Pelodiscus sinensis: one gene and its partners. The protein of the gene in region 4 interacts with the protein of the main gene of each other region in a pairwise test. Links are inferred from orthologs where the notes say so. Each region holds a gene or a part of one and is shown on either strand. Other genes may lie near its edges. The genes, in order: RALYL, FTH1, TBC1D22B and FXR2.

Region 1 (7,078 bases), on a different chromosome or scaffold from region 4:
AGTTACTGATACAAATCTAATCCTTACAAGCCTAAATCAAGGCAGAAGTCTGGGACTTCTTAAAATGTGAGTTATTGACTCTTAGTAGATTGTAACTACTCCAAAAACAGTATTATAATCTATCATGTAAATATAGTGATTTTTTGAAATATGGATTATTAACTCAATAGCAAATTAATTCTGTGTTGTTGTAAAAGCCCAGCAGGCATGTAGAATAGACACTTTTCTACACAATATAACTAAATTGCAGGGACGAGGGGGGGGAGAATCAGTTTAAAGAGCAAAGTATTTGCAAGTTCCAGGAAAGTAAATATGTATACAAAGTTTCTAACTTCCAAAGCATTTTAGTCTTATAAATGAAAAATAGACAGAATATTTCTTTTTACATCTACAAAAAAGTATTACGTAAAAGATGCTTTGTTTTCAATGCTTAAATGCTGAGGAAATTTTTCTGACCAAGTTTCCCTGAAATCTATTCATAGAGAATACACTCAACAGCATCATCACAATAAAGTGTATCACGCATAAGACTGCAGATTCAAGCATTCAGCACCTCAATTTTGATAAAATACTCAGCTCTCTCTTTCTGGAAAAAACTGAGATGGAAAACGCTTTCAATATCATATTTAGTATATCAACTTCTCTAAATCCAGAACAGTTTAGGAGCTTGTTAAGCAGCTAAGTCCTATTAAAGCAAAGTAACAGTTTCTTCCCTAATCTTGAACTTTCAGCGACAGTCAGAGAAAAAGTAGCTGATTCCTATGCCCTGTCAGACAGTAGCATTAATAATCACCAAAACAAAAGGAAACACCTCAAAATATGTATCTGCTTATAATTAATCACTACCCCAATGAGGTAAACCTGGCAGAAATGACCTGCTTTCTGCCTTGATTAGTCCTTGTTAATAAGGGGAGCATAAATTAGAAATAAGAGGATTGTTATCGTTATGGATTTGGAATATGTGTCAGACTCATATGGCAGTGAGCCAGTTTCTCTGACGGACTGCTGCTGCTGTATCTCTCACAGCCACCTATGATTTTATAATAGGCATTTTTTAAAACTCGAGTCTCTTTCTCTCTCTATTTCTCTCTCTTTTCTTCCTCACAATCCAGTCCAGTTATTTTTAAGCCCTAGACGCTCCCTGCTCATAACTTGCATCTCCCGGTTCAATTCAGGTTTGTCAGCTGGGTACCCGCATGTCTAGGATAGTACATAAACTATCACACACAGACTAACCGACCTGGGCTCAATTAGTGCAGCATTTTGGACACATTCGAGTAATCAAGAGGCAGAAATTTAGTTTCGTCTTCATTTAATTGAGAACACATATTTAGCGAGGGATCGAGAATTTTACATAATTATTATTAATAATTATTATTATTCTCGTAACGTAATTTACAAAAGAGTGGAAACGCCTACAAGGAGATGAAGTACCTGCACTGGGGAGATGTTCAGTTGTTCACTTCATCTTCCGTTGACAAGGAAACCAACCCGCACTTCATTCTCCAGGAAAACCTTCCACTGCCATCATTTTAAAATGTATTTATTTGTATATATGTGCATATCTATCATCATAATCATCATAATAAAATTATCTCGGTAAAAGAATAAAAAAGTCAAATGTGCAAAAGTAACGATCATTGCTTTGGCTTTTTTGTTTGTTTGGCTTTTTTAAGGAGGAAAAAGTATTAAAAAATGATCAACTCTAACAAGCTGCAAGAAAAGTTTCACGTTATAAACGGGCATCAAAGCAAAAAAGAACAAAAACTGCTGATTGCACCGAGTGTCAAAAAAAGGAAACAACCAAAAATAATAAAATTAACATCTTGCTCAGTGGCCTGCACCAGTATTGCAAGATCACAAACTCTTTGTAAACACTGCTGTAAAATGCATTTGCAATTCACATCTATATACAAAAAAAATAAAAATAAAAATGAAAAAACATCAAAACAACATTTGGAAAAATTCTCTGCAAAAGAGTTAGAAACATGCCTTTTCTCCTCATCTTTAAAAAAACGCACAATATTTCACATTGCTTTCTTTTTCTCGGGCCATAACAAAACCAGTTGCATATCTAGAGCTAGCGCTAATAATTGTATATATAGCTATATTTTTGCTGGACTGGTAAGTCTTAAATGTTATTGCATTGCTCAATTCCCAGTGACTCCCAGCCCCAGCAGCACCTTTTGCTCACAGTCTAGTAACCATCGCATGCTAAGAAGAAGAAGAAAAACAAAAACAAAAACAAAAAACTTGGCATCAGAAAAAGGATCAAATCCCTGGAAACAATAATCAAAGAGGAAGAAAAAAAGAAGAAAAATAAAAAAGGAAGAAAAAAACAGGACAAAAAAAGAGGACAAGAATGTCAGCGGAAAGGTACTCACCGAGCGGGAGTAAAAGAGAGGAATAAAAATGAGTTACTATAAAATACAGTATGGCGGTGGAAGAAGGAATGAGGCGCTTCCCCCCCCCCCCTCCTCTCTAGTCTCTGCCTCAGGCAGCGGACACGTGATTCGCAGCCAGGCTGACTCGCAGGCAGGGGGAAGGGGTTCGCCCCGCTGGAGCAGCCCAATTCACTCCCACGGCGGTGGCGGCGGCAGAAGCGAGCGGGAGGCTGGAGCCCGCAGCTAGCGGCAGGAGCTGGCGCCTCGGCTGCTTGCGCGGCGGCAGCAGCGCGAGCCAAGCAGGTGCCTCTCGCCCCAGCGCCACGCGCCGCACACACACCCACCCACACACACACACCCGCGCGGCTAAGTCAGGGGCGCGGGCGAGCGAGGCGGAGGGGAGTTGAAAGCGGAGACCGTGCGAGCGGGAGCAGCTGCCTGTGTGTGTATGTCGGAGCTACAACTTGCTGCCTCCTCACCTCAAAGTTATCGCTGCAGCTTCCGGTGCTCCCAAATTACCTGCTCCATAAATCTCCCCTTCTTTCTAGGTTGCCGAGGGCCGGACTGAGTGGCAAGTGTCAGTGCAAGTCAGCGCGTCTCCAGCGCCGCTCGCCACTGCACGGAGGCAGAGAGGCTGAGCGGTCGGTAGCTGTACTTTCTGCTGGGGATGGCTCGGCTCCGGCCAAGTGCAAGCCCCAAGCGATGCTTGTCCAGAGCGTGCTCACATGTTCACGTTTGCAGCTGGACAGAAATTAGAAAGTGCCGAGAGACGCGTTCATTATTTCTCTACTTTGTTTTTGCTTTCCTGGCCTCTGCTCAGTGTTTGCCTTGGTGCTGAGGGGGGCTCTTGTTTTTAATAACAAAGTTATTGGCAGAGGCAAGTCAAACAAGTGACTCCAGAAGAGCTGTTCTGGGAGAGCGCTTTGCAGGCAGCCTGTGCTAGGCAGGGAAGCAGCAATGCATCATCACGCAGACGGCTAGTTCCTCGGCAGGTTAACTCTTTCAGCTGGATGGTAGGTGAGCCTGTTGTTCCGCATCCTTGCTCATGTTTAACGGGATCCTGTGTTAGCTAAAGGGCATTCCCTATAATCAAGGATCCCTTCCTGTGCCCCTCGCTCTCCTGAGGTTTTATTCAAGAGTGACTAAAGCATGGTGTTCCAGACTATAAAGTAAGCAAGAACTATCCCAGGCTGTCACTCATACTTAAGACTGTGTGAGAGTTGTGTAGGTTTTTTGTTTACTTCAGAAGGGGCCATCATGATCATCTAGTCACAAAGCTATGTGCATTCAAACCAGGAATACACTGTGGGGGAAGTCTTCAAATCTAGGCTATATCTACTCTGGGAAAGATTGGCAACAAAAGTGTGGTCAACATGCAAAAGTGCCAAAAGTGAAAAATGGTCCAACTGGTTTTTCTGCTTCCCATTGTTGACATTCCATGGCCATATTGCTAGTACCTCCATGGACCCGCATCCCACAATGCAGTGTGTGGGAAGGCAGAGCTGATACCTGTGCTCCTTAGTTCTCCCACAACATTCTCAGATGCTGAGAGCAGCTCTGTGAATTCTCCATGCAGAGGAATGTCAAAGCAGCACAGCAGTCTCTCCAGTCTGCCCCCTGCAGTAGCAATCTGCCTGCTGCTGTGTTTCTAGCGGGACAGAACAGAAGCATTACAATGATTTGCTCTTTGTTTTTTCCCCAAACAAAGCAGCTCATTCAACTGTCGGATATTTCTCAGGGCTTTGAAAGATGAGGGGTGCATGCCTGCAGGGTAGCAGAGCTCACAAACCACAGCCATGGAAGCAGGCAGTGTGACAGAGGGAAGTCAGTTCTCTGGGGAAAAAAAGCAAACAACAGAGTCCACACTAGCTCTTTGTCGAAAATAAAAGGAGAGGAAAAGACAAAAATCTCTGGCAGGACTGGAAGTTTTTTGTTGCCAAAGCTAGATGTTTTCCCCAACAAACGTAGCACTGCAGTGTAAACACGCTTAATGTTTTGTTGCTAAAAGGCAGTTTTGAATGACAAAACATGCCAGTGAACACAAGACCCTAGATTTAAAGACTCTTAAGTTACCCACCATTTATTTTAGTTCAAACCAGCAAGTGATCTGTGTTCCATGCTGCAGAGGAAGGAGAACTTCCCTCCCCTCAGGTTTCTGTCAATCTGACTTAGGGAAAACAATCCTTCTCAACCCCAAATCAATTAGCTTAGGGGTGGGCAATAATTTTTGACAGGGGGCCACTCCAAGATTTTGGAAAGTGGTCAAGGGCCGCACTCTTCCATGATGTTAATGGAGGAGATGTGGAATCTGGGATGGAGGTAGGGTACAGAAGGGAGCTTGGGGTAATTGATTGGGATGCAGGAGGAGATTAGAGTCTGGGAGGGAGTTTGAGTGAAGGAGGCAGTTGTAACCTAGGGCAAGCAACTGAAGTGCAGGGCTTGGGGATGTGACCTAGAGTAGGAGGGTAATGTGATCTGGGAAAGAAGATTGGGGTGCCAGATCTGGAGAGGGTTTGGGTGTAAGAGGGGGACAGAGGGTTTGGGTATGTTGAGTGGGAGTCAGAGGGTTGGGGCAGGAAAGTGCTGGGGTGCTAGAAACAGGGTGTGGCCAAGAGACTTGCCTGTCAGCTGCCAAACTAGCCTGCCTGCCGAGCTTAAAACATTTCCCAGCCAGCCAGCCTGCTTCCCTGGCCATGTGCTTCATTGAATAACTGAGCCGAGAAGAGAGAGCATAGTTCTTCTTGGCTGCCTGTTATACTAACAAACAGCTCCCATTGGCTGGTTTCTAGCCAGAAACCAGCCAATGGCAGCTCCTGAAACTTCCCCCTTCCCTTCCTGTTTCAAAACAGAAATGGAGCCCTGAAGCCTCATTTGTAAATGGCACACGGGGCTGCAGGGCAAGCAGAGGAGCCTGCCTGGGGCTCCCTGCTCCCTCAGCGGGTCAGATCTGGTGGATTGGTGGGCCAGATCCATGCCACAGGCTGTATTTTGCCCAGGCCTGAGTAAATCCTCCACATTTGGGCAAGACCCACCAGCCAGATGCAGCCCTCCTTGTCTATTGTCTTCTTTCTGTCTTTTAGAGATATTTACTAATAGCAGTCATGAATGGGTCATGTGTCCTTGTGGGTAGTACAATGATTAACATCATCATCAACCATCCCCTCCATAAACTTGTCAAGTTCTGTCTTGGAACAATTTTTTTTGTTTTTTTGTTTTGTTTTGTTTTGTTTTGTTTTCCCCACAGTTTCCCTTAGAAGGCTCTTCCAAAATTTCACTCTTTGGATAGGCCTCAGAGGAGAAGTCATGCTAGTTTTTATCTGTAAAAATGTGGAGTCCTGTGGCATCTTAAAGATTTATTTGGGCATAATATTTCGTGGGTCAAAACCACTTTGTCTGATTTATGGAGTGGAAATCACAGAGGTAAGAAGTAGGGATGTAAAGGGCTAACCAGTTAACAGACAGCCCACCCGGGTTGGAGCAGACCCCCACCTGATGCAGCCTGGGGGGCGGATGCAGCCTTGTCATGGGCAGCGGTCATTTTAATCCAGCTGAGCCCACCATGCCATACCATGGCTGAGGAGTGGTCAGCCCAGCATGACAAGATAGGCCTGGCCAGGCTGGAGCAGCTCTCCAACCATGGCATGGTATGGCAGGCCTCGCCCAAGCAGCCGGTGGCATGGCAAGGGGCCACCCAGACCAGCTGGGCCCCCCGCCTGCAGGATCCTGGTTAACTGGTTAAATGTAACATATAAACCTCATATAACATATAAATGTTATGTGTAACATAAATGGCATTTTAGTCGGAAAATATATATCTTACAATAGATTTTAGAAATGTGTGTATGTCTGTCTATCTGCCTGTGAGTCTCTTCAAGAACTCCTACATAAGAACGGCCGTACTGGGTCAGACCAAAGGTCCATCTAGCCCAGTATCCTGTCTACCGACAGTGGCCAGCACCAGGTGCCCCAGAGAGGGTGGACCGAAGACAATGATCAAGCGATTTGTCTCCTGCCATCCCTCTCCAGCCTCTGACAAACAGAGGCCAAGGACACCATTTTATCCCCTGGCTAATAGCCTTTTATGGACCTAACTTCCATGAATTTATCCAGCTTCTCTTTAAACTCTATTATAGTCCTAGCCATCACAGCCTCCTCTGGCAAGGAGTTCCACAGGTTGACTACACGCTGTGTGAAGAAGAACTTTCTTTTATTAGTTTTAAACCTGCTACCCATTAATTTCATTTGGTGTCCTCTAGTTCTTCTATTATGGGAACTAATAAATAACGTTTCTTTATCAGCCCTCTCCATACCACTCATGATTTTATAGACCTCTATCATATCCCCCCTCAGTCTCCTCTTTTCTAAACTGAAAAGTTCCAGTCGCTTTAACCTCTCCTCATATGGGACCCGTTCCAAACCCCTAATCATTTTAGTTGCCCTTTTCTTAACCCTTTCCAAGGCCAAAATATCTTTTTTGAGGTGAGGAGACCACATCTGTACACAGTATTCAAGATGTGGGCGTACCATAGTTTTATACAGGGGCAGTAAGATATTCTGGGTCTTATTTTCTATCCCTTTCCTAATAATTCCTATTTGCCTTTTTGACAACCGCTGCACTCTGTGTGGAAGTTTTCAGAGAACTGTCCACGATAACTCCAAGATCTCTTTCCTGATTTGTCGTAGCCAAATTAGCC
Region 2 (7,144 bases), on a different chromosome or scaffold from region 4:
GTCTCCCTTCTGAGCACCATACTTTGCTGCCATCAGAAACAAGCCATACAGAACCGATCAGTATCTTGTGCTCCATTAATAGTTTAAAGCTCCCAAAAACTTTCTGAACGTAGTTGGGGCTGAAGCACATTTGTTCTTTGCTAAACCCCTTTTTAACAAGAGGTGTTTGTAGCAAGTTATGGTCTCACTTTTGGAGAAATCAAGTGATGAACTGCCATTTTGATCATTTTTGGGGGCTAAAATGAATCCTGTTTTGAGCACTGGACTGCACCAGATACGGGATGCAAGTGTGTCGCAGTATAAAAGGAGGCAGTTGCCTCCCTGCACTTCTGCCTCCGAACCAGCTTAAAAGCCAGATCTTAGCATGCATGGGCTCCTCCCTCCCTCTCCCAGGGAGTTGGCTGCTGCCCTGTGTCTGCAGGGATGGGTGGCAGTTAGTACTAAGGATGTTAAGTAGCATGTAATTCACTGTTTGATTAGTTGATAGGGCAGCAATGCCACTGCAGCCTTTCAAGAGGGCAACACCATATGGAGCCCCCAGGGTCAGCAGTGCTGCAACACCCCTTCTTCCTGACAGGGGAGGGGGGGGGGAAGGGGAGGACCACTACTTAACTATCTGATAAGCATTTGCTTATCCATAGTCAACTAGTCCTTAACATCCCTATCTGTACTAGCCAGGGAGCTAGCTGCTGCCCCTTATGTAACCATGAAACCACTGAAATGCTTGGCATTTACACAATTACACACATTTTAACCTCTTTACACCAGCTAGTACTTTCTTCTCTGAAAGTTTTTTAAAGCATGTTCTGTTGACCTCAAAAAAGATACTGAGGTACAGTTAAGAAATTAATACATGGGGGGAGAGGGGGACCATTTGAAAGTCTACAAGATTCTGATCAACTTCAGAGTTGAAGAGGGATCCTTCAAGAGAGTCTCGACGTACTGGTCTAGCAATGTTAATTTTACAAGCTACTGGAGAGATTAAAAGCAAAGGTGCGCATTTGGGAGCTAGGGTCTGGTGTGTACAGAGGAAAGTACAAAAGCCTGCTCTTTTTTTATTTCAAATGCCAAGCAAGTCTGAAGCGTGATCCCTGGATTAGCCAGCTGTTAAAGGCTGCCAGAGCAATTCATACAGCGCCACAGCCGTGCTCCAAACCCCCCCACCCACCATCAAGCCAGTTTGAAGCGGCCCCTTTCCCTCAAGGAGCAGCTCGGAGGAGTTACCCGCACGCTCGGGGGCTGCGCTCCCACCGTCTGGCGGGCTTAGCCCTGCAGCGCGCCAGCAGGGAGAAGCCCCGCCACAGGCGACAGGCACAAGAGCAGCTCGGCAGAGGCGCCCCCCCCCGCAGCAGAGGGAGGGCGGGAGCCGATAAGAAGCCCTCAGGAGGCCCAGGTGCGAGAGCTGCGCCGCGCAGATAAACACGGGGGGCCGAGCCCGGCGCGGCGCCACCAGGAGGCCCCTCCCCCGAGCCGCAGCGCGCGGCCTGGGCCGAGCCCCCCAGCGGGTACCCCTCCCCCACCGCGGCAACAAAGGAGGCGCGCGCGGGCCCGGCAACGACAACGCCGCCCCCCCCCCCCCCCCCGGAGAGGCTCGTCCCCCTCCCTCCCGAGGGATCACAGGCCCAGCCCACCCCGCCCTGTCGCGCGGCACGTAGGCCCCCGCGCGACCCCTCCGCGCGGGCCGCGGGCGGTTGGCACGTACCATGCTGAGGTACGCGTAGGAGGCGTAGAGCTCCAGGTTGATCTGGCGGTTGACGGCCGCCTCGCAGTCCTGGTGGTAGTTCTGGCGCACCTGGGAGGGAGAAGAAGACATGGCGGCGGCGCTGCTGTTGCTGCTGTTACTACTATAGGAGACGAGAGGAGGCGGAGAGGAGGGGTCCGAGCGGCAGCGGTTCCGTCCAAACACTGTTGAAGCAGGAACCTCCGGGCTCGGGTCTGTCTGGGGGTGACGCGATCTGAACGGGCGAACGCCTCCGGCTCGCCTTATATATGCACGTCGCCGCGCGTCAGGAGGCCCCGCCCAAGGTGCGCGCGCAGAGAACAGGAGGGAGGGAGCGAGCGGGGCGGGGGACAGGAGAGCGGCTGAAGGGATTTGCCCCGCGCTCAGCGGCTGGAAGCTATTGGCTCAGCGTGACTCAGCAGATTCCGCTGCTGGCTGTGCCCACGACAGCTCATGATCCCAGCTACCTGCTTTGTTAGTCTATAAAGTGCTACCAGACCGTTCCTTGTTTTTTCTTGGTGCATTGGTGTGTTTCTCCCAACCCTCTCCCCCGCCCAGCAAGGACAGTGGGCCCCATCCCTTCAGTAGCCTTTGCACCCCAGCTAACCAGTGCTGCCACTTCCTCATCTGTCTGCTCGACATCCTGGTCCTTGGCACACCTCTGCATCTCCAGGCCCTTCGTGTACCTGCAGAACACAGACATACACACACAACATCAGCCTTAGTGCAGAACCAGCTCTGGCCTTCCCCTCCCAGCCCAAACTCTTTGGCTACGTCTAGACTGGCATGATTTTCCGCAAATGCTTTTAACGGAAAAGTTTTCCGTTAAAAGCGTTTGCGGAAAAGAGCGTCTAGATTGGCACGGACGCTTTTCCGCAAAAGCACTTTTTGCGGAAAAGCGTCCGTTGCCAATCTAGATGCGCTTTTGCACAAAAAAGCCCCGATCGCCATTTTCACGATTGGGGCTTTTTTGCGCAAAACAAATCTGAGCAGTCTACACTGGCCCTTTTGCGCAAAAGCTTTGCGCAAAAGGGACTTTTGCCCGAACGGGAGCAGCATAGTATTTCCGCAAGAAGCACTGATTTTAGACAATAAGTCAGTGTTCTTGTGGAAATTCAAGCGGCCAGTGTAGACACCTGGCAAGTTTTTCTTGCCAGTCTAGACACAGCCCTTTAGTTTAAGGGGACTATCTGTTGGGATTCCTTCTTCTCTGGAAGAGTGGCGCTGCTGGCGCACATACTCACGTACTTTCTCTCAATGACAGACCGTCCCATGGAGAATGTCGCTTTCTTGGGAAGATGACATGGGCCACCTATGTATATATTGGACCATCCACACCCACACCGCTGTATAATAATAATTAATAATACTTTGCATTTCTATAACTCCTCCTCTACAAGGATCACTATCAACAAAAAAACAACCAAGGTGAGAACAGCTCTTTATCTGTGTAGATTCTTATGTTAGTACCCTTCCTATCTAATTGCCATCCTATGAGCCTTATCTGCTTTTTTTAATTATCCAATTTTTAGGTGCTTATAGATTACCAGTTTTGCCTGTTTGGTTTTCCCTTTGATATTTATATACCCTCTGCTTCTTGTTTCCTACACCCTTCCATTTTTTTTCCTTACCCCTTCTCCTCTATTTATTTTGGATCTGGACATCCTAACCTCAAAACTCTGGTCATCTGAAGAAGTGGGCTGTGCCCACAAAAGCTCATGATACCATCTACATGTTTTGTTAGTCTATCAAGTGCTACCAGACTATTTGTTGTTTTTTAAGTTTATACTTTACAGCCATGCGTTGATACCATTGCTTTTACCTCTGGTTTAAAATATAAAGAAGAAAACCTTTTCATACTTTAATCTGAGATTTAATGTATCATTTCCCAGCCATTACTTTTGTTTCCTGGTGTGAGACAAATGCATGTTAATCTGATTACATCTTTTTCAGGACTGAATCTGCTCAGTTATAAACCCCAAGGAGCCAGAATGGCCAGAGTCATTTACTATAGTCCATATAATGGTCTTGAAGCCAAATTACTCCCTATCTACATTTGTACAACCAGAGTGAAATTAGCAGAGTCATCTAGTAGTAAACACAGCACAGAATCTGGCCCTGAGTATGTTGAAACGTAGATGCATATTCTTCTAGAATAACAATAATAGGCTGTTTAACTACGATATACACTTATATCGTATTTTGGGGAGAAGTAATTTCTTGATCCCATACATAACCATTGTTTTTCTGTCAATTTGTTTTGACGATGGCTTTAGTTGTACAGGAAATGAATGTAAATGATTCATTGACAATGACAGTTGCTCATTTAGATTTGATATCCGGACAGTGATTTTAGAGACGTAACACAATGACAATGCACTTTAAAGGGCAGATTTCAAACTATGAGTCTGAACTATATCAGTACAGAAGACTATTTACAAATGACTGATTGGAGGATTACTGGGGTTTTAAAAAAACTTCTGACAATCTTCGAAAAAAGGCTCTTACGGAAAATAATAATGATAAAGTTTGAATCAAAATCCTAGTGGGTCTTACAAAGGAATCAAACAATAGGGAATTAATTGAGATGTAAACAATTTCTACTCCTCAAAGTGAAGGTAATTCTTTTGTTGGGGCCCTGAAGCCATCCAAATTAGGATGCATGATTTTATGTTAATAATTTACAGGAGAAAGAGGTCACATTGGTAAAGCTCACCAATGATGTAATAATGGTATGACACCCAAGAGTTCAGTTTAAAAAACTAAATTTTATTTCAAGTCACTGGACCTGGGTCAGAGTGAGAAAAGTTAATGGCTTTGTCATATGAGTTTTCCTTATTTAAATTAAATGCACAGAAAAACATAATGTTGTTTAAAATAAGAACCACAAACTAAACCAGCCAGTTATTAAAATAGTAATTGAAAAGTCATGAATGAAGGTCAGGGCAGACAATCCGAGCTCTCTGAAGGCATGTCTACACTCACCGCACCGGAGATCAATGTTCTGGCATTCAATTCAGAGGCTCTAGTATAGAACCATAAATCTAACGCTAAAGGCAGCTCCAGCCAGCGCCTGTACTCCTCACAGTCGCGACGAATATGGGAAGCCAACTGGAGCGTTTGCTTCCATCAGCCTCCTGCTGTGTGGACGCTGCCAAGCTCAGCTTAAGATAAGCCAACTCCAGCTAAATATTCTACGTAGCTGGAGTTGCGTACCTTAAGCCAAGCTGCCAGGTCTAGCGTAAACCTAGCCTGACAACTGAGAGGACTATTTTGTGTCTTATTTAGTATTGCCAAACTCACATGTTCAAATCAAGAGGTTTTTTTTAAATAACCAATAAATCTTGGGCTTTCTTTGTTTATTTTCTGGTTTCTGAGCCTTGAGGATGCCCTGTGGTCATACACACACAGCCTAGAAACTTCCATTTCCTTAAAATGAAAGCTAAGATTCTCAAATAATTTCATGATTCCAGGAGACCCATGATAAAATCACCATGACTGAAACTCAGCAGTTTTTCTGATCAAATGTTCACTTCTTGTTCTCAAAACAGTTCCTGTTGTAATGACCTTCTTCAGTCATTAAGATGGATCCACAATATAGAGCTTATAATGACTACTTCTTTTCATTGGGTGTGCGTGTGTGTTACATTTTCAGAACAGAAATACAGTCAAAGGCATTCTGGATGTGCTAAGGAAAGAGCAAATATCCTTCTTGGTTTTGTTTAGATGTCTTCTGTCTTCTTGTAGGTCTGATCATCAGATTATGTGGTTATCATATATGACCTTAGTGTGGATCAATTACTATAGCAGGTTGCTAGCCTCTTGTTGCTTGAAAACTTACGTTTTCCTTCACTTATAAAATAACTCACTCTGTGACATTCTTGTCTCAGTATTTTACCTGCTTTTACTTGCCTGACATATTGCTTTCATTGTGACTAGTTCAGGTTTTTTATTATATTTGGCTCAAGAAGCTTGCCAGATGTTCACACTAACGTTTTTCTTCTTTTGCTCATGAGTCTCTAAACTGGTGACCCTAAAACAATAATTGTGCAACGCATTGCCACATTCTAGAAATATGAATATTGAACCTACAAAGTGCTAGTTCTCCTGAATCAAGTTCTTTCCTTTTTGTGTTGACTTGCCTTTTAATCCTTTTGACTGTGCATGACTTAATATAACAAAGAATTGCCAAAATGAATTACCTGTGAATTGGGGGCCAGTGCTATTTACTTTTCTACAATCTTTTAGTGAACAAACTGTGATTTACAATGTGGTATAACATTGCTACCTGAAATGTTGTGCAACAGCTCAGTTAAAAAACATAGGCGCAATAAAAAATAATCTTTTCCATTTAACTCAAGATAGTTCTGTACCAGCCTTAGCCTAAAGGTGATCAAGGTTGTCATGTGGTTTCATTGGTTCTTTTATATTCTGGTTTTTTTTAATTGATTGTAGGTTTCACAGTTGTAAACCTTAGCTTTAATGACACCTTTTACGCCTACTGATAGGATTGGGCACATCTTGGACTCTTCCTCCTACACTTCTTTATACCCAGATGGACACAGTGAAGTAAGTGTAGCATTTCCAACCTCATGCTGTGGGCTTTTTATAATAGTATGTCCTTCATACATCCAAAATTCAAATATAACAATTTTATAATTACAGGCAGTCCCCGGGCTACGTACAAGATAGGGACTGTAGGTTTGTTCTTAAGTTGAATCTGTAAGTAAGTCGGAACTGGCATCCAGATTCAGCCGCTGCTGAAACTGACCAGTGGCTGACTACAGGAAGCCTGAGGCAGAGTTACTCTGCCCCGGGCTTCCTGGAATCAGCCGCTGATCAGTTTCAACAGGCTGAATCTGGACGCCAGTTCCGACTTACATACAGATTCAACTTACGAACCCCAGGCATCCCCAAGTCAGCTGCTGCTGAAACTGATCCTGTAGTCAGCGCTGGTCAGTTTCAGCAGCGGCTGACTTGGGGACGCCTGGGGCAGAGCAGCTGGGGTGCTGCTGGGTTGGTCCAGTAGCGCTGCTCCTCGGCGCTACTGGACCAACCCAGCAGCACCACAGCTGCTCTGCCCCAGGCGTCCTGATTCACCCGCTGCTGAAACTGACCAGCAGAGGCTGAATCAGGACGCCTGGGGCGGAGCAGCTGGGGTGCTGCCGGGTTGGTCCAGTAGCGCCCAGAGCGGCGCTGCGGGACCAACCAGCAGTGCCCCAGCTGCTCTACCTCAGGCGTCCGGAGAAAAGCCTGGTCTGCTGGGGGGGGTGCGCACTAGCTGCGCCCCCCCCCCCCCAGCAGACCAGGGAGATGCGGGCAGCGGACTGAGACACACTGAGACCAGCAGACCAGGGAGACGGGGAGCAAAGCCTCAGAGGACGCCAGCAGCGGGACAGCCGAGGCGCTCCCCGTCTCCCTGGT
Region 3 (7,053 bases), on a different chromosome or scaffold from region 4:
ACGGGGAACCGATTCTTATCCCCTCTCTTTCACTCTTGTTCAGAATCGAAAGTTGGCCTTTGTCTTTGGCGCGCTTCCAGCCAGAGTCTCCTGCTAGCACCTGGGGAGAAGAAAAGAGACACCCTGTAAGAAGCATAATGTGCAGTTATAAAAGTGGCCTGGCTTCTTATCAAGGGTAGACTCGTGCTGCCCTCTGGCGTTGGCATCTCCCATTTGGGCATTGAAACGCCACCAGGTTTTCATGGGCTCAGTGCTTGGCTCTTCTGAAAAATCTGACCCCAGTGAGGGCTCCTGACTGCTAGAAAATCTGGTCATAAGAATCCTGGTCTAACACCTCCTCCCCTCCCTTGAATGTCAAAGGGAAACTGGGCATAACCAAGTCACACTCAGGCAGAGCGGGTAAACGATGCAAGCAAATCAACCTGCTAGCTGTTCATCCTGACTTTATGCTCACTTAGTCCTGGGGTAATTGCCTGCACATGATGCAGGGCAATGGCAAATCAGACCCATTCCCTTCTCAAATTGCTGCTCAACTAATAACATTTTGCCAATCTAGAGCACTTTCTGAGGTCCTCGGAGCACTTTGGAGAGTACTGAAGGAACCCTCTGCTCTTCTGAGGGCATGCGTCATGAGCCTCACTTTACACATGGGGAAACTGAGGCACGAAGCAGGGTGGTGATTTGTTGACAGTCAGAAGGGCAGGTTGACACTTGAGTTGTTCACCTTGAATAAATGAATTGCTAATTAACTCAAGGCAGTTACTGTGTGTCTGCACAGACTTGCTGGGATGCTCCCCAAATGCCTGTTCCAGAATTGCTAACGTTTCTTTACCTCAGAGTTTGTCTGTAGCCCGTAACAATAGTTTAGGACAGTGCTACACAGACCTTGATGACCTAAGAGCCAAATTAGCAATCAACAGTACCCAAAAGAGCCACAGGAATATGAATGACAGGGAAATATTTAGCTTATAAAACTTTTTAATTAATTTGCTGTTAGACTATATAATTTATAATTATACTTAGTAATTTAGTGCAATCTGATAACAATTCATTAATAACACAGTAAAACACAGCACCGTGATTGGTTAATCATTAAATCACGTAGTCTTTTAACATCCTGTGCTGCACAGAGCCCCAGGAGATGCATTGAAGAGCCAGTCTCAGGCCTGGTCCACCCTGGGAGTGCTCAGACTGGCTCTCTGCAAAAGCCCTAGCTACCTCAACTGAGTCCAAAGAGCAAACTTGGGGGCAGGCCAGTGCACAGAGAAGCCAGGAGTCCCCGCATCCAGCTCTTTGTGTTAGTGGCCAAACCACCCCCTTTCATTTATTTACAAAACAAGGTAGGAGAAATAAACCTGGTCCAGATTTTCAAAAGTGGCCACCGTGGGAGACTTTCTGAGGATCTGAGCTCCCGTGAGGGGACTGAGTCATTAAACCTCGTTTGACAGGGTCTGTCTCCAAAGGAGCTCAGCTTCCATTTAGACGCCCAAAGGCAGTGGCCATGGTTCTGAAAGGGAGCAGTGAATTGCTGAGCACATCTGTAGCTTTGTCCATCTCCTTAGAATTTTGGCACCAGTTTGGGTGCTGAGATCTTGAAATGTTGATGAATAATGCAGCTAGGCCAGGGGCAGAGTTAAGGGTACCTGTGAAACAGTCACTTTGGCATGCCCTGACATTGGGTGCCTTGCCTTGCAATGTTTATCTGACACAGAAATTGTCATGCAATATTTAAGGCGTGTGGAGGTGTGCGTGCGTGCATGTGTGTGTTCCAAAGGCCTTAGAAAAGAAAGATGGTCTGGTGGCCAGGGCACTAGTCTAGAAATTGGCCTCTTATGAGGTTCCAGTTAGCAGGCCTGGCTGGCAATTGCTGTATCCCTGCTGGAGGCAGCCAGAGCCATGTAAGAACTGCCAGGGTAAAGTCAGCAGCCCAGCAAGCTGGTTAGTATAAGCACCAGAGTTATTGACTTGAGTCCCACGACTTGAACTCGAGTCCGACTTAAGTCGCCGAGGTGACTCGACTTGAGACTTGACTCAGGTTCATTGTTTGTGACTTGAGACTTGCTAATTTTGTTAACTCGACTTGGTGAAAAAATTGTCCGAAAATGCCGACATCAACGGCTTGTACAAAAGTGACTTGACATTTTTTAAATTAAGACTTGAGACTCGACTTGGGACTTGACTCAAAAGTGACTTTAGGGACACGAGACTCGACTAGAGACTTGAACTGTAGTGACGTGAGACTCGACTTGGACTTGACAATGACACCTTGAAGACAACACTGATAAGCGCTGTACGTCTGTACCTACTGACAGGTTTTATGCTGCTGCCCTTTGCTGTGATGTCTGAGAACCTTCTAACTAAAAATGATAGGGTGACCCTATCATCCCTAGTAATCATCCCAGATAAACTATCTGGCACTTTGTCCTTTTCGGAGTTAAAATCTCTGCTTGGCAGAGCGGGCCAGGTTCGGGGGGCAGTGGTTAGATTGTGTTTGTTGATTTGGTTTGATAGTTACTGATCTGGGACATCTGCAATGGGAAGAAAGTCTGTATATTCTGGACCTTGTTGTTATAAACTTGAAAATTAGGTTTTATTTGGTACTGGGTCTGCATGCCACAATTGCAGCTTGCTTAGTTTCCTGTTTGTGCTGTCTTGGTCATTTGGTTGCCAAGACAAAATTGTTATTAAACATGAATTGTTTTTAAACATATAAGAAATAATTACAACAAATGCTCCTGAAATAGACTGATTTTTACATTAGTTGTTTTTTAATTTTTTTCAGTTACAGACTAACAAGGCAACCTCTCTGTGATTTTTATATTTTTATTCTTCAAATAATCCAAGAGCTTCTAGGGAGCTAAGCAACCCCCACTGAAAGTTGCCCCTTCACCACTGAAATCTGAAATGGCATTACTACTTTCTGTGAGTTCCTTGTTAATAAGGATTATAATTACTTATTGTTTGTATCCAGTAGCATGGTTCAATAAGACAATGGAAAAGTTACCAATTTAGAGAAATTGTATAACATTTCAGTAAGGAGAGAGAAATATCTGTAGATCTAATTGTCATGCATACCCATCTCTCTTACCTATGTTTCAATTTGCCCATGGGTGGTATGTACTGTGTTCATCACCAGGCTAACTAAGTGCCTTATAAGTGTTATAATTTTCCTTGTGTGATTCCATCCCACTTGCATGAGCAAAATAAGATTGTTTTAAAAGTGTGAGCAAATCAAGATGGATTTCCACCCTAATTCCAAGAGGCACAGGTTCAGATTGGGACTGGGAGCTCTGTTTTGATGCAGTCCAGGATTAGACCCTAAACTACTCAGGTAGAAGTCTTTGAAACATCTAAAATAGAATGAAGTTGCAGGACTTTGTGATGTGAATAGAAAAAGTGGTTTTTTCACACTCAGCCTGAAGTACCAGAAATGTAACTTACAGCCAAACAAGCTGTCACTGGAGGGAGCAGGGAGGTTTGAGGACTCCCAATGGAAAGTTTGGGGAAATGACATTTAACTGAAAAGGGAGATGAGATGGAAGCTCCAACTCTAGGGGAGCCCAGCCACTGCACAACCCCTCTCCCTCTTTCAGTGCAAAGTGTTTAACCCCACACGACCCCTCCTCCCCAGTGCAGCTGGTTTAACCCTCTCCACCTGTCCTTCCACAGTGAAGTGGTTTAACCCATTCCCAAGCAATGCAGACCCCCTCCACCCCGCCTCCCTGGGGCACATGGTTTAACCCTCTCCTCCCCAATGCAGACGGTGTAACTCCCTCCAAGCGCAAATGGCTTAATCCCCTCTGTCCCTCCTCCCCAGGGCAGAGGAATTGTCCAATTCCCCCCTCCTCTCCCAAGGGGGGTGATTCGTCCCCTTCCAAGCACTGGAGATGGTTTAACCTAGCCACCTCTTCTCAGAGGAGATGGTTCGCTCCACTCCACCCCTGGACATGGTTTATTCCTTGAGTGCACAGATGGTCTCTCCCGCCTCTCGAGGCCCTGCCCCTCTGCCCGGTCCTGGCCTCCCTCGCTTCCCGACCCTGCAGGATCCCGGCTCTGGATTGGCTGAGCTGGAGGCCGCGGAGCAAGGCAGCCAATGGCCGGGCTTCGCCCTCCCGGATCCAAGATGGCGGCGCCGGAGCCTGGCAGCGGGGCCTCCGGAGGGAGGAGGTGAAGCGGCCTCGGCCCGCGGCTCCGGGACCTGTCGCCGCTCCCCCCTTCCGGAGCCGGCCGGGGCCCGGCCCCAGCCCCAGCCCCAGCCCCAGCCATGGCCGCCGAGAGCAGCAAGCAGTTCTGGAAGCGGAGCGCCAAGCTGCCGGGCAGGTGCGTGCGGCCCTCGCCCCCACCCCCCCCGCCAGATCTCCGCCCCCCCCGGCCCGGTCAGACTCCCCCGCCTGACCCCTCCCCCCCCCGGCCCGGTCAGACTCCCCCGCCTGACCCCTCCCCCCCCCCCGGCCCGGTCAGACTCCCCCGCCTGACCCCTCCCCCCCCCCGGCCCGGTCAGACTCCCCCGCCTGACCCCTCCCCCCCCCCCGGCCCGGTCAGACTCCCCCGCCTGACCCCTCCCCCCCCCGGCCCGGTCAGACTCCCCCGCCTGACCCCTCCCCCCCCCCCGGCCCGGTCAGACTCCCCCGCCTGACCCCTCCCCCCCCCCCGGCCCGGTCAGACTCCCCCGCCTGACCCCTCCCCCCCCCGGCCCGGTCAGACTCCCCCGCCTGACCCCTCCCCCCCCCGGCCCGGTCAGACTCCCCCGCCTGACCCCTCCCCCCCCCGGCCCGGTCAGACTCCCCCGCCTGACCCCTCCCCGGCCCGGTCGCCCCCCCCCCCCGGCCCGGTCATACACCCCCCCGACTCACCCTCCCCGGCCCGGTCATCCCCCTCCCTCTGCGGCCCACTCCCCCTCCTCGCCTGCCTGACCCCCCGCTCCTCCCCCGGCCTGCTCTGCTCATCTCCCCTCCCCCCACCTGACCCCTGGCCTCCCCTCTGGCCTGGTCACCCCCCCCCGATTCCCCCCCGCCGGCCCAGTCACTCCCCTCCCCCACCTGACCCCCAGCCCGGTCACATGCCCCCCCGGCCTACCTGGTCACCCCCACCTGCCTCAGTCACAGCCCCTCCTGACCCCCCTCCCCCATCTCCCTTTTATATTCCTCCTGATTGATTCCGGACTAGTCCATTAACTGATCATTTCCAGCTGGGCCTGAGAGGAGCCGACCTGCCTGGGAATGGGATTCACTTCTCCTATCCATTTGTGGGTACTTGTAATATGTATCTCTGCATAGCTGCAACCTTCACCAGGGAGCCAGTGACAAAAGGGGGGCTGTGCTGGAGCCTGTTAACTAACCTTCTGTGCACCTGCATCCCCCAAGTCTCCATTCAGTGGGGGATGACAAGCTGGAGCGGGAACAGTTTGGTTTGGCTTTTTTTTGGGGGGGGGGGGGTGAGGAAGCAGTGAGTCCTTTCCCCTTCCCTCTGCATCCTGAAGTGGGGAGGGGGCAATGTAGAGAGGAGCTTGCTGGGTGTCTAAAGGCCTACTTCAGAGCTAAGAGCACAAGGTGCCCCCCTCGTCCTCAAGGCCAGGCACGGCCCTGGACAGCAGAGCCTCCCAACAGAACAGGTGTCCTTGTATCCCATGTGAGATTGTAATTCCCTGCATTCCTCTTAACCCTGCTTCCCAGGAAGTGTGGGAGTCTGGGGGGGCACCTTCCCCACCTCACTTCCTCTGGCCAGGGAGCAGCAAGGGAGGCTTACTGGGTGGGAGGGACTGCACCAGCCATTGCCTTGAAATAGATTAATGACAGCAGGGGGCAGGAAACTTGCTCTGGGGAGAGGCTCCCCACTTGTGGCTTTGAGAGGAAGGTTCCCAAAGAAAAATTCAAAGCAAATCCCCAGGAGAAAGCGAGGGAATAGGGAGGTTTTACCCACCTCCCTGTGAGGAGTATTACAAGGGTAGGTTAAAGTCTGAGCGCTTCATATGGGCATCACCGTTTCCACGCTGCCATTAATCTCATCTTGACCCTGCAGTCCCCTCCTGGTGTGCACGTGCAGAGCCTTTGAAATGCTTAACTGGCTTTAAATCCTGCTTGGCCAGTTAATCTTCTCTTTCTAATGCACTCTCACTTTCACTCTCCCCCTGCTCAAACTGAGGTTGCTGGGACAGTCCAGACCTGGGAGAGTGGTGTGATGCTGCAGACATCACCCGCAGCTCCACCTTTTTTTCTGACAAACGAATGCCACTCTGCATATGCACGTGTCTTGGAGTATAATCTTACTATCGGGTACATGTCTTATCTGTAGCCCACATCCTGCCCGTGCAGAGGGTGCTCTCTAAGATAGCAAGTTTTTTCCATCTCGAACAACTTTGAGCTCCGCTTTTGAGAGCTTAACCAGGCAAACCCGTTTGGGGAAATAAGTAGGAGCCAGCCAGCCCGGAACTCAAACTAGGGCACTGGATAAACTGTTCTCTCCCCCAAAAGGCCAGCATGCTAATAGTTTGTCAGATCTAGCTGTGTGTGGTGGTACTGGCTCTGTTCCTAAATCCCTGCTATAATCACCCACGCTTGGAAGCTGTCAGCAGAGAGTGGAGGAGGGAAACAGGAGATGCTAGGTTTATGGCCTCGGAGGTTAAGATTACTTAAGAACTGCTTATCCAACCTTTCTGGGATCTTTTCCTGCATATTTGCTGGCTCTTTCCCAAGTCTGTGCTGATCACCCTGGAAGGAGCTGAAGATAATGTCAAAGTTTGGATAAGCACTTGGGCTTTCTCCATTCACCGCATCTCTTTGTGATCAGTTTCAGTTGTTCTCTAGCTTGGTGTTCAGCTTGGTGTGCCACCAAGAGGTTCTCTAGGGCTGTCACGGCTGTTCCCCACTCTGACAGGATAAATGCAGAAGTTGGGGGCCCACAAGAGTACTCCAAAACCTTGCCTCTACAAGCTCTGGTACAAAAACTTCCCTCCAAAATCCTAATACCCAGATTTTGGGGGACCCACTGCCACCATCAAGTGCTTTGAACCCCAAAATAAAAACACAAATGGGTGGATACCTGGGGTACCCCAAG
Region 4 (7,952 bases):
TTTGGTTTAGCAGGTCACAAAGACATTTTTGGAGAATAACCAAGCTTTATGAGTTTTGATAGGGTCAGTCTTCAAAGATGAAAATAACGCAGCTTGCCAAACTTTTATCCAACCTTGTTCTGTGGCAGTAAGAGAAAGCCATTCAAGAACAAAATCTGCTTCCTTAAGGCAGCACCCTCACAGGTATTTTCAGCCATCAGGGATTATGGAGGCAATCACATGAAACCACCACAATGGCTCTAGGGCTCAGAAAGAAGCTAGGAAATATTGACTGCCCATCCTGCTCTGGCCTAAAAACTACACTTGAGAGAAAGCAAGATCTAGCAGAAAGGACAACAGAGGGAACTCAGAGACTATTCCCAGAAGCCCTGACCAGCTTGGTGTGTGAGTTGAGCAAATCCTTTCACTTCCGAGGTTGTTCTGCCTCCCCTGCTCTGTTTAGACAGGGATGGTGCACACATAGTGTACATTATGAATGCTGAACAACTGGCCCCACCATAGCATAAGTGAACATACAGAAATTTCCACTGATTTCAAGTCAGTCTAAGAAGAATATGACCTCAGATTTGTAGAAGGGGCTACAAATCACGCTATTCCTCTCCCCATGAAACAAGAGAACTCAAATCCTTGGCCCATTCACAAAGAATAGAGTGGGATGCAATCTGATCACATTAAGGGATCTTGCATCAGATACTAATATGTAGCACTTGTCACAGCATCAACTTGATTAGGCATTAGAAATTGGAGGGATGGGTTCTGCTATTCAAGTGACTTCAGTCCCATACAAGGCACATCCAGCTGCCTGTGGAGTTCTGGCAGAGAAGAGCTGAAACAAACATCTGGCTGATTCGGAGAGTACTGCAGCCTTTCTTTTCCTTGGACACAATAAAGGTTAGGATCACTGTAACCTGACTGGCCAGTGGCACGATTTGAACCCTCCCAGATTTTTGTTAAGGAAGGGAGCTCTGAGCCCTGCAATAGCTGGATTTAGGAGGCAGGGCTGGGCTTGAGAGACAATGTGAGAAGGAGCACTGAGGAGGAGTTCCTGTGGGAAAATGAAGGGATCTGTGAAATAATTGTGCTTGTAGTTCTAGAAGAGAGGCAACATGGGAAAGTGGATATGGAAAAGGAGAGTCCGATGCAAAAACTACAATGAAGAAGCAAAACTTCTAAGAGGTCCAGAGAAAAAGGAGGAAAAAATTGGAGTGTGTGTGTGGGGACAAACGGGTTTATGTAGAACTTAGAGACAAGGGGGAGGAAGGCACAGTGCACCACAGGCTAAACTGGGGTTCCCACAGCCATGCTGCATTCTCTCCATGTTTTGACGCCCACCTGAATCAGGGCCCTTAAGGATGCCCATTTAGCTCAGTGACTCTCCACCATTAGGAGGACCTCCAATCCCCAGTGACTCAGTAACAAAAACTGCATGGGATCCCTATGAGAGGAAAACCTCAATGCTAAGGAAGGGGAGAGTTCTGTGTGCCCATCCCATAGGTCCTTACTGAGCCATGCAGGGTCCTAAGTCCTTCAGTCATGCTCCAACACCTTCCCTATTCCCTCCCACTCCTCCCCACAACACAGACACACACCATCCACATGTTTACCCACATAGTCCTTCCCCCTCTCTCTCCAAGCTGCTATTAACACCTCAAGGCCCTTTGCTTCAGAGCCCGCAGCCACCTGACCCCCTCAGTTACTTACACCCCTAGACTTCCCACTTTTGCCCAGATCCTTCCAATTTTATTCCCCCCTCAAATCTTACTCTTAAGCCCCATCCACTTACCTGCTTCTCACTATGGTCTCCATATTGACAGCTGTAGTTTCCATTCTCCCTGCTGTCAGTTACTCTTTCAGGTGATCGCAAACCCAGCCTCTTCTCCCATAATGCCCCTCACCCAACAGTTATCCTCCAGTCACCCCACATCTTACCTCCAGCCCCACCCCAGGACCCCAGTAGTCCACCCCTTTCTCTAAACCTTCCCAATTCCCTGTTCCATCTAAAAACCCCTAAGCCTCTCCCACCACGTGGCTTGCACGCCACTGTTCCCCCAGTTACTTTCCCACCATCTCCTCATCATACCCAAAATTAACTTCCCTAACCGGCCCTCAACAATTCATTCACTTACCCATGCCTTGTCTTACCTCCCCACCTTCCTTCACCCCATCACACATCCACTCCCAAACACCCCACTACCTCCTCGCCATTCACCCCATCATACATCCTCCCTACACACTCCACTGCCACCCAATCCTCTGTGATCTCCCCTCCCGCCACACAGGAATACCCCTGCCCCCCTCACTAGACACCCTCCCCCGCCTCCCATTCCAACCACCAGCTCCTCTATGACCTGCCTTCCCTCTTTCCCCCACTCTCCACTATCCCCTCCCTCTAACGGCCCTCCACACGCCTTTCTGACCTTCCTCTCCCTGGGGCCTGCCTCGCCCTGCCACCCTCCCCCCTCCCACAAAACACTCCCCCCAAAGACCCCCCCACCTGTATGACCTCTTCCCACCCGGGGCCTTCCCCACCCTCTCCAATCTTACACCCTCACCAGACACCCTCCCCAAAACCCTTTACAGTCTCCCCCACCCATTCATATACCTCCTCTCCCTCATTTGCCAGTAGCATCTCCCCCAACGGCCCCCATCCTTGTGCAACCCCCTCCCCACACCGAGGCCTGCCCACCAGTCTCGTACTCCCGCCAGACACTCAACCCTCCACTCAACCCCGCGCGCTGACCTTGTAGAAGGCGCCGTTGGAGCCGCGAAGCTCCACGGGCAGCCCCTCCATGGGCCCGGCCACCGCCGCCCCGCCGGGGAGGGGCCCAGGCCCCGGGAGCCGCCCGGCGCCGCGGGGGGGGGAGGAGGCAGCGCCGCAGGGTCTGGCCCGGGGGGGGATGGGAGGCGCCGCGGCCCGCTCCCGCTCCCGCTCCGGCTCCGCCACCGTGAGGCAGGGACCGACCCGCCGCCGCCGCTACCGCCTCACACCGCGCGCGCGGCCCCTCCCCCTTCGCGCGCGTACACCGCGCAGGCGCGGCCGGGAGGGGCGGGGCACGCGCGCGCGCCGCTCCACCAATCGCCGAGCGCCAGCCCAGGTCCGCTGGCCAATGGAAGAACGCAACTCTACTACCAACCAATCGCGACCAGCGTGGCTAAGCTAGGCGCGTGCTCAAGCCCCACCTCCCAACGAGAAGACGTCGGGTTCGCCAAGGACGCGCGCCCGCCCCGCCCCTCTGCCAGGACACCCAATCGGTGGGCCTCCCTGCTCCCGCTGACCAATCAGCATGCCCCCGCTTCTTTCCCACCTACACCGGCAACCAACCCTGGCCCCGCCCCGCTCCCAAACCAAGAAACGCCCAGCGTTTGGCCCGTACCCAATCACGGGCCGGGACCCGCCCCCAACCGCGCGGCTTCCGCGCTCCGAATTGGCTGCACTGCGAGATCAATCAAATGGGGCAGCTGGGGCCCCAGGCCCTGCCCCCGGCATTCTACGGCCTAGGAACATGGTGGGAAAGGGGAAAATATCCCACAGTTCCCTGGGCCTCTAGCCCCTCCGTATTCCATAATCCCCAGGGGCCTCCGAGCCCCCCAACTTCCCAGTCTCCTTAGACCCTCATCCCGCAGTCCTCTAGGGCTCTGTGGGCTTCCCTGGTATCCCACAATCTCCCAGTACCACCCCCATGTCCCACAATCCCTGAGCGCCCCGCCCCGGTCATCCAAGGCCTGAATGATTCCATATGCTGAGTGCATCAGGTGCGAGGGGGTGGATTCTATGGTTCCATTGGGGCGTTCTGGCTGCATGTGGGAGGTGTGAGAGACCAGTCTCTATGGTTCCAATGAGGACGCCTTAGCAGCACTTACTTGGTGGGTGTGGGACGACGGACTCTATGATTCTGACTGATCCTTGTTAGGTGAAATGTGCTTCATAAAATTCAGCTGAAGGTCTGAAAAATGTCACCCCAAATAATTACATTTGGGCAAAATTACAGGGAACCGAAAACGGTCTCATGGTGAGTGACCATAACTGCACTATCCGGATTCTCATTCACTGACCATTTTGAAATCAAGGACTGTTTTTCTGAACGACCAGCTGTAGAAAGTACTGAGGGGAACGTCTCCAGCCTGCACTGTACAGCACGGAGCACACTGGGGATCCACCCTGGTGGGTGTCCAGGCATCGTGAGGAGACACTAGGATAGAGCTCTGCAGTAGGTGGTGCTATTGATCCCTGCTGGCCTGGGGATCTAGGAGTGAGAGAATAGCTTGGAAACATGACAGGAGTGCCCCCTGCAGGCTCACAAGTACAGTCAGGCCAGAAAAGGCAGGCAAAAACAAGCAAAGAGGATTTGGTCTCAGTGGGAAAATTTTGATTTTCGGAAGATATTTGAATACTGAGAAATCTACCTATCCCCATGTCTACCCATCTAACCCCATATACTTCCCTCTATCCATCCATCTGTTCCCCTCACCACTGCTCTCTCTATCCAGCCCTATGACCACAAGGGTCCCTTTAGGCTTGCCCGCTTCCCAGGATTTCCAATAAGGTTCTCTAGCCCAGCATCCTGCCTTACAACAGTGGCCAGCACAGGAGGCCCCACAGGGTCCCAGCCTCTGGCACTAAGCAGCTTGGGGCTAGGCTGGCTCAGGAGAGATTTGGGATTGTGAGGTCTGGAGCCTGGATCTTTCCCAGCACCATGTTCAGATACTGCTCAGCTCAACACCACAACCTGCCACATGGGGCTGAGCTTTCCAGGGCAGAAGGATGGTAAATGACATGGCTACATACACAGGAGCAGGAATGTTGGTGGGGTACAGTGGGGCAGGACTGAGGTGCACCAGCAGGCCTGGGGAGGGGTGACTGGGTATCGTTGCCTCGACCCATCAGCCACAGTCAGTCAAATTGATCTGAGGTGCTGAGGTCGGGTCAGGGTCCCACTATCAGGGTCACTGTATGGCCTCCTGGGTGCCACAAATATCCCTCCCCACAGGACCACAGGCTGGGTCAGAAACCAGCCCCTGTGTCTGTGTGTATTGTGTGTATGTGTGCACAGCACAGTGCATGTGTACCGGGCAAGTGTGTGTATATATAGTACTCTGTGTGTAGCAAGAAAGCGTGTATGTACACAGTACTGTGTGTGGGTACTGAGCATGTATGCATGTACACAGTAATGTGTGTAACACACAAGTGTGTGTTTGTGTACCAAGAAAGTGTGTATGTTTATTTACACAGCACTGTGCATGTGTACCAGGAAAGTGTCTGTGTGTGTGTTTACACAGTGGTGTGTACCGTATGTTTGTTATGTACCCAATGCTCTGTACCAGTAAACTGGAAAAGCGTGTGTGTGTGTGTGTGTACAGAGAAAATGTGTGTGTACAGGGGTGATAGCAGAGAGTGTGCATGGGGGGGCACAGGCTGGATGTGGGGATGGGAGGAAGGAAGCAGGACAGGAGAAGAAAGAGCTCTGTGTGTGTGTGAGAGAGAGAGAGGCAGAGATGGGAAGAAGGAAGGAGAGAGGAGGAGAAGGATGGATGTATATGAGGACGAATGCAGGGATGGAAGGGAGGAGGAAGAGCTGGAGGAGGACACTGTGGAGGGGGGGCAGGATCTGAGCTCACAGACGCCCATTAAGTCACACCCGGGGGCGGGAGTGGAAGGGGGGGGGCTCGTCACATGAGCAGCCTGTGACCCAGCCGCCGGTTCAGGAGAGCACTGCATGGAGCTAGGGGAGGGACCCGGCCACCTCCCCCCCCTCCCCATCGACCCCACCCCAGAGCATCCCCAACTAAAGGTTTGTGCATCTCCGGGCTGGGAGCCAGGACGCCTGGGTTCTCTTCCCAGCTCTGGGAGAAGAGTGGGAGCTGGCGGTTCAGGACTCCTGTTTCTCTTTCTGGCCTATGGAGAGGAGTGGGGGCTGGTGAGTTGGAGCGGGGGCTGGGAGCCAGGACTCCTGGGTTCCTCTCTCCCCAGCGCTGTGAAGGGGGTGGGTCTGGTGGCCAGGAAATCCATTTAATCTCCTCCATTCAGCTACCTTCCACCTGGGGGCTAAGGCCCGCCCTCCTAGGAACGCGCCGGCTTAAATGATCCTCTCCCAGCATAAGCTCCTTCTTCCTTGTCTCCTCCCTGAGTCCTCGGGGGCAGCCTGACGCACAGCCTACAGCCGGTGAGCTTCCGCCCTCCAGAAGTTTGCCCCCACCCCCACCCATTTACCCTAGAAGAGAAACCAGGAACAGGGGTGTCCTCCCCATCTCTGGGGGTGGGGGGCTGAATTTGGAGGATCCACGCCCATTGGGTGTCTCCTGAATTTGGTTTGCTCTTTCCTGCATCTGACTTGGATTAATTTTTCTCCTCGTTGATTGCTCCCAAACCGGGCTGACTTTAAAGGTTCATACCCCAGTTTTTAAGTTGCTTCAGAGAGAGCTTTTAAACAAGAGTGTGCATTTCCTGTCTCCATTTAATCATAAGAATCTAGCCTGGTATTTTTTAAGAGTTCAAACCCACTTTCTTAGCTGTCTTTTGAAGTTTCCCAGCCATCTGCTTTGTGCATCAAAACACAGATAAATTTTTCTACCTGTTAAATAAAGCACCTGGGGAGGTTTGTATGGTACAAACCCAATTTTCTCTCCTTATTTCAAAGGCAGATCTACAGTGGGATTCAGAGCATGCTTGTGCATTGCAGCAGGACTGAAGTCTTTTCCTTTTAATCTCTGCAATTTTAAGGCTGGCATTCCCAGCCCTGTGCAGTATGGCAGACTAGACCATGTAACTGGTGTTTGTAGAATTTCAGGCCAAAGGGGAGATGATCTAGCTAGATTTTGGGGTGAGGGATTGCAGGGGTGCCTGAGGAGGGGCATGGGAGCTGGGGAGGAGAACTAGGGAGAAGAGGGGTTTTGCCAATAATGCCTCCTTCCCCTCTCCCAGGGTGACCAGGCCCCCCTGCCATGTCCACTGAGAGCTCCCCTCTGTTGAGCTACCGGCTCTTCAGCGTGGTGGACGAGGGGGAGATGCCAAGCAGCCGGGCCCAAGAGGAGGCACCCCTCGTGGGTGGGGGCATAGGCCCCCTGGGCCCCCCACAGCCTGACCCGGCCCGACGGCTCTCCACTTTCTTTGGCGTCGTGGTGCCCACAGTGTTGTCCATGTTCAGCATCGTTGTCTTCATGCGTGTGGGTGAGTGACTCTACCCTGCTGATTAGTGCATGGTTATTGGCAAAAGCCCTCTTCTCCCTCCTCAACTCCCCCCCCCCCCCAAAGGAAACTTCTCTGCCTCCCATAGGATTCTCTCCCTCCATCCCCTGCCCACATTGTGTGCTGCCCTTAAGAATAGCAGGAAACCTCCGTCCCCATCCCCACTGATGCATGCTTGATTTCCGGCCAAAATCATGTGGTGGGCTAATGGGGGCTTGGCCCATACTTACCCCTTGCTGCCTCCAACCCAGCTGGCTGTTCAGCTTCTTGTCACAATTAGCAACTGATTCATCCGGGTTGGTTGTGCATACATTCCATCGACATCATAAGGCATGGAATTCCCTAGATCACTGGTGCCTGCATACTTGTACCTTATGGGCACTGAAAGCCAATTCCTTATTGTAATTAGTGGCTTACTAAAGGTGAGCACCATTAAACAGGAGAGGTTCGTGCTTAACCGGGATGTGGGCCCTAAGGCCATGTGGATGGGCCCAATCCTGGAAGCTATATAGAGGGCAGAATTCTGGGCTTGCCCTCCGTCCAGTTCTGCCAATGCCCCTCCCTTCTTACCTGCAGCTCCCTATCTGTCATCTCTTAGGTTTCGTGGTGGGACATGCTGGGTTCCTGCAGTCGCTGCTTATGCTGGTGGTAGCCTATGTCATCATTTTACTGACCGTCCTGTCTGTCTGTGCCATCTGCACTAATGGTGCCATCCAAGGGGGTGGGGCATATTGTATCCTTCCGCCAGCGGGCTGGTACATGGTGTGCG

What was found.
Region 1: the proteins of FXR2 (region 4) and RALYL interact in a two-hybrid assay, tested with the Homo sapiens proteins (2 studies listed by BioGRID and IntAct). The link is inferred for Pelodiscus sinensis from reciprocal best matches to the Homo sapiens genes FXR2 and RALYL.
Region 2: the proteins of FXR2 (region 4) and FTH1 interact in binary tests that used the Homo sapiens proteins (3 or more experiments, as listed by UniProt). The link is inferred for Pelodiscus sinensis from reciprocal best matches to the Homo sapiens genes FXR2 and FTH1.
Region 3: the proteins of FXR2 (region 4) and TBC1D22B interact in binary tests that used the Homo sapiens proteins (3 or more experiments, as listed by UniProt). The link is inferred for Pelodiscus sinensis from reciprocal best matches to the Homo sapiens genes FXR2 and TBC1D22B.

What each region holds. Positions count from the first base shown.
Region 1 is NC_134712.1:47,014,466-47,021,543, forward strand, and holds the start of RALYL (RNA-binding Raly-like protein), read right to left. Parts: upstream 3,001-7,078; 5' UTR 2,864-3,000; intron 2,688-2,863; exon of another isoform or gene 2,385-2,687; intron 1,522-2,384; exon of another isoform or gene 1,435-1,521; intron 1-1,434.
Region 2 is NC_134714.1:124,702,406-124,709,549, reverse strand, and holds the start of FTH1 (ferritin heavy chain), read right to left. Parts: upstream 3,016-7,144; 5' UTR 2,995-3,015; coding exon 2,969-2,994; intron 2,407-2,968; coding exon 2,328-2,406; intron 1,968-2,327; exon of another isoform or gene 1,814-1,967; coding exon of another isoform or gene 1,793-1,813; coding exon 1,703-1,792; intron 1-1,702. UniProt on the Homo sapiens protein: Stores iron in a soluble, non-toxic, readily available form. Important for iron homeostasis. Has ferroxidase activity. Iron is taken up in the ferrous form and deposited as ferric hydroxides after oxidation. Also plays a role in delivery of iron to cells.
Region 3 is NC_134737.1:16,850,294-16,857,346, reverse strand, and holds the start of TBC1D22B (TBC1 domain family member 22B), read left to right. Parts: upstream 1-4,045; 5' UTR 4,046-4,264; coding exon 4,265-4,320; intron 4,321-7,053. UniProt on the Homo sapiens protein: May act as a GTPase-activating protein for Rab family protein(s).
Region 4 is NC_134734.1:9,203,907-9,211,858, reverse strand, and holds the start of FXR2 (RNA-binding protein FXR2), read right to left. Parts: upstream 3,002-7,952; 5' UTR 2,741-3,001; intron 1-2,740. Other genes in the region: SLC12A9 (solute carrier family 12 member 9), read left to right, coding at 6,940-7,165, 7,782-7,916. UniProt on the Homo sapiens protein: mRNA-binding protein that acts as a regulator of mRNAs translation and/or stability, and which is required for adult hippocampal neurogenesis. Specifically binds to AU-rich elements (AREs) in the 3'-UTR of target mRNAs.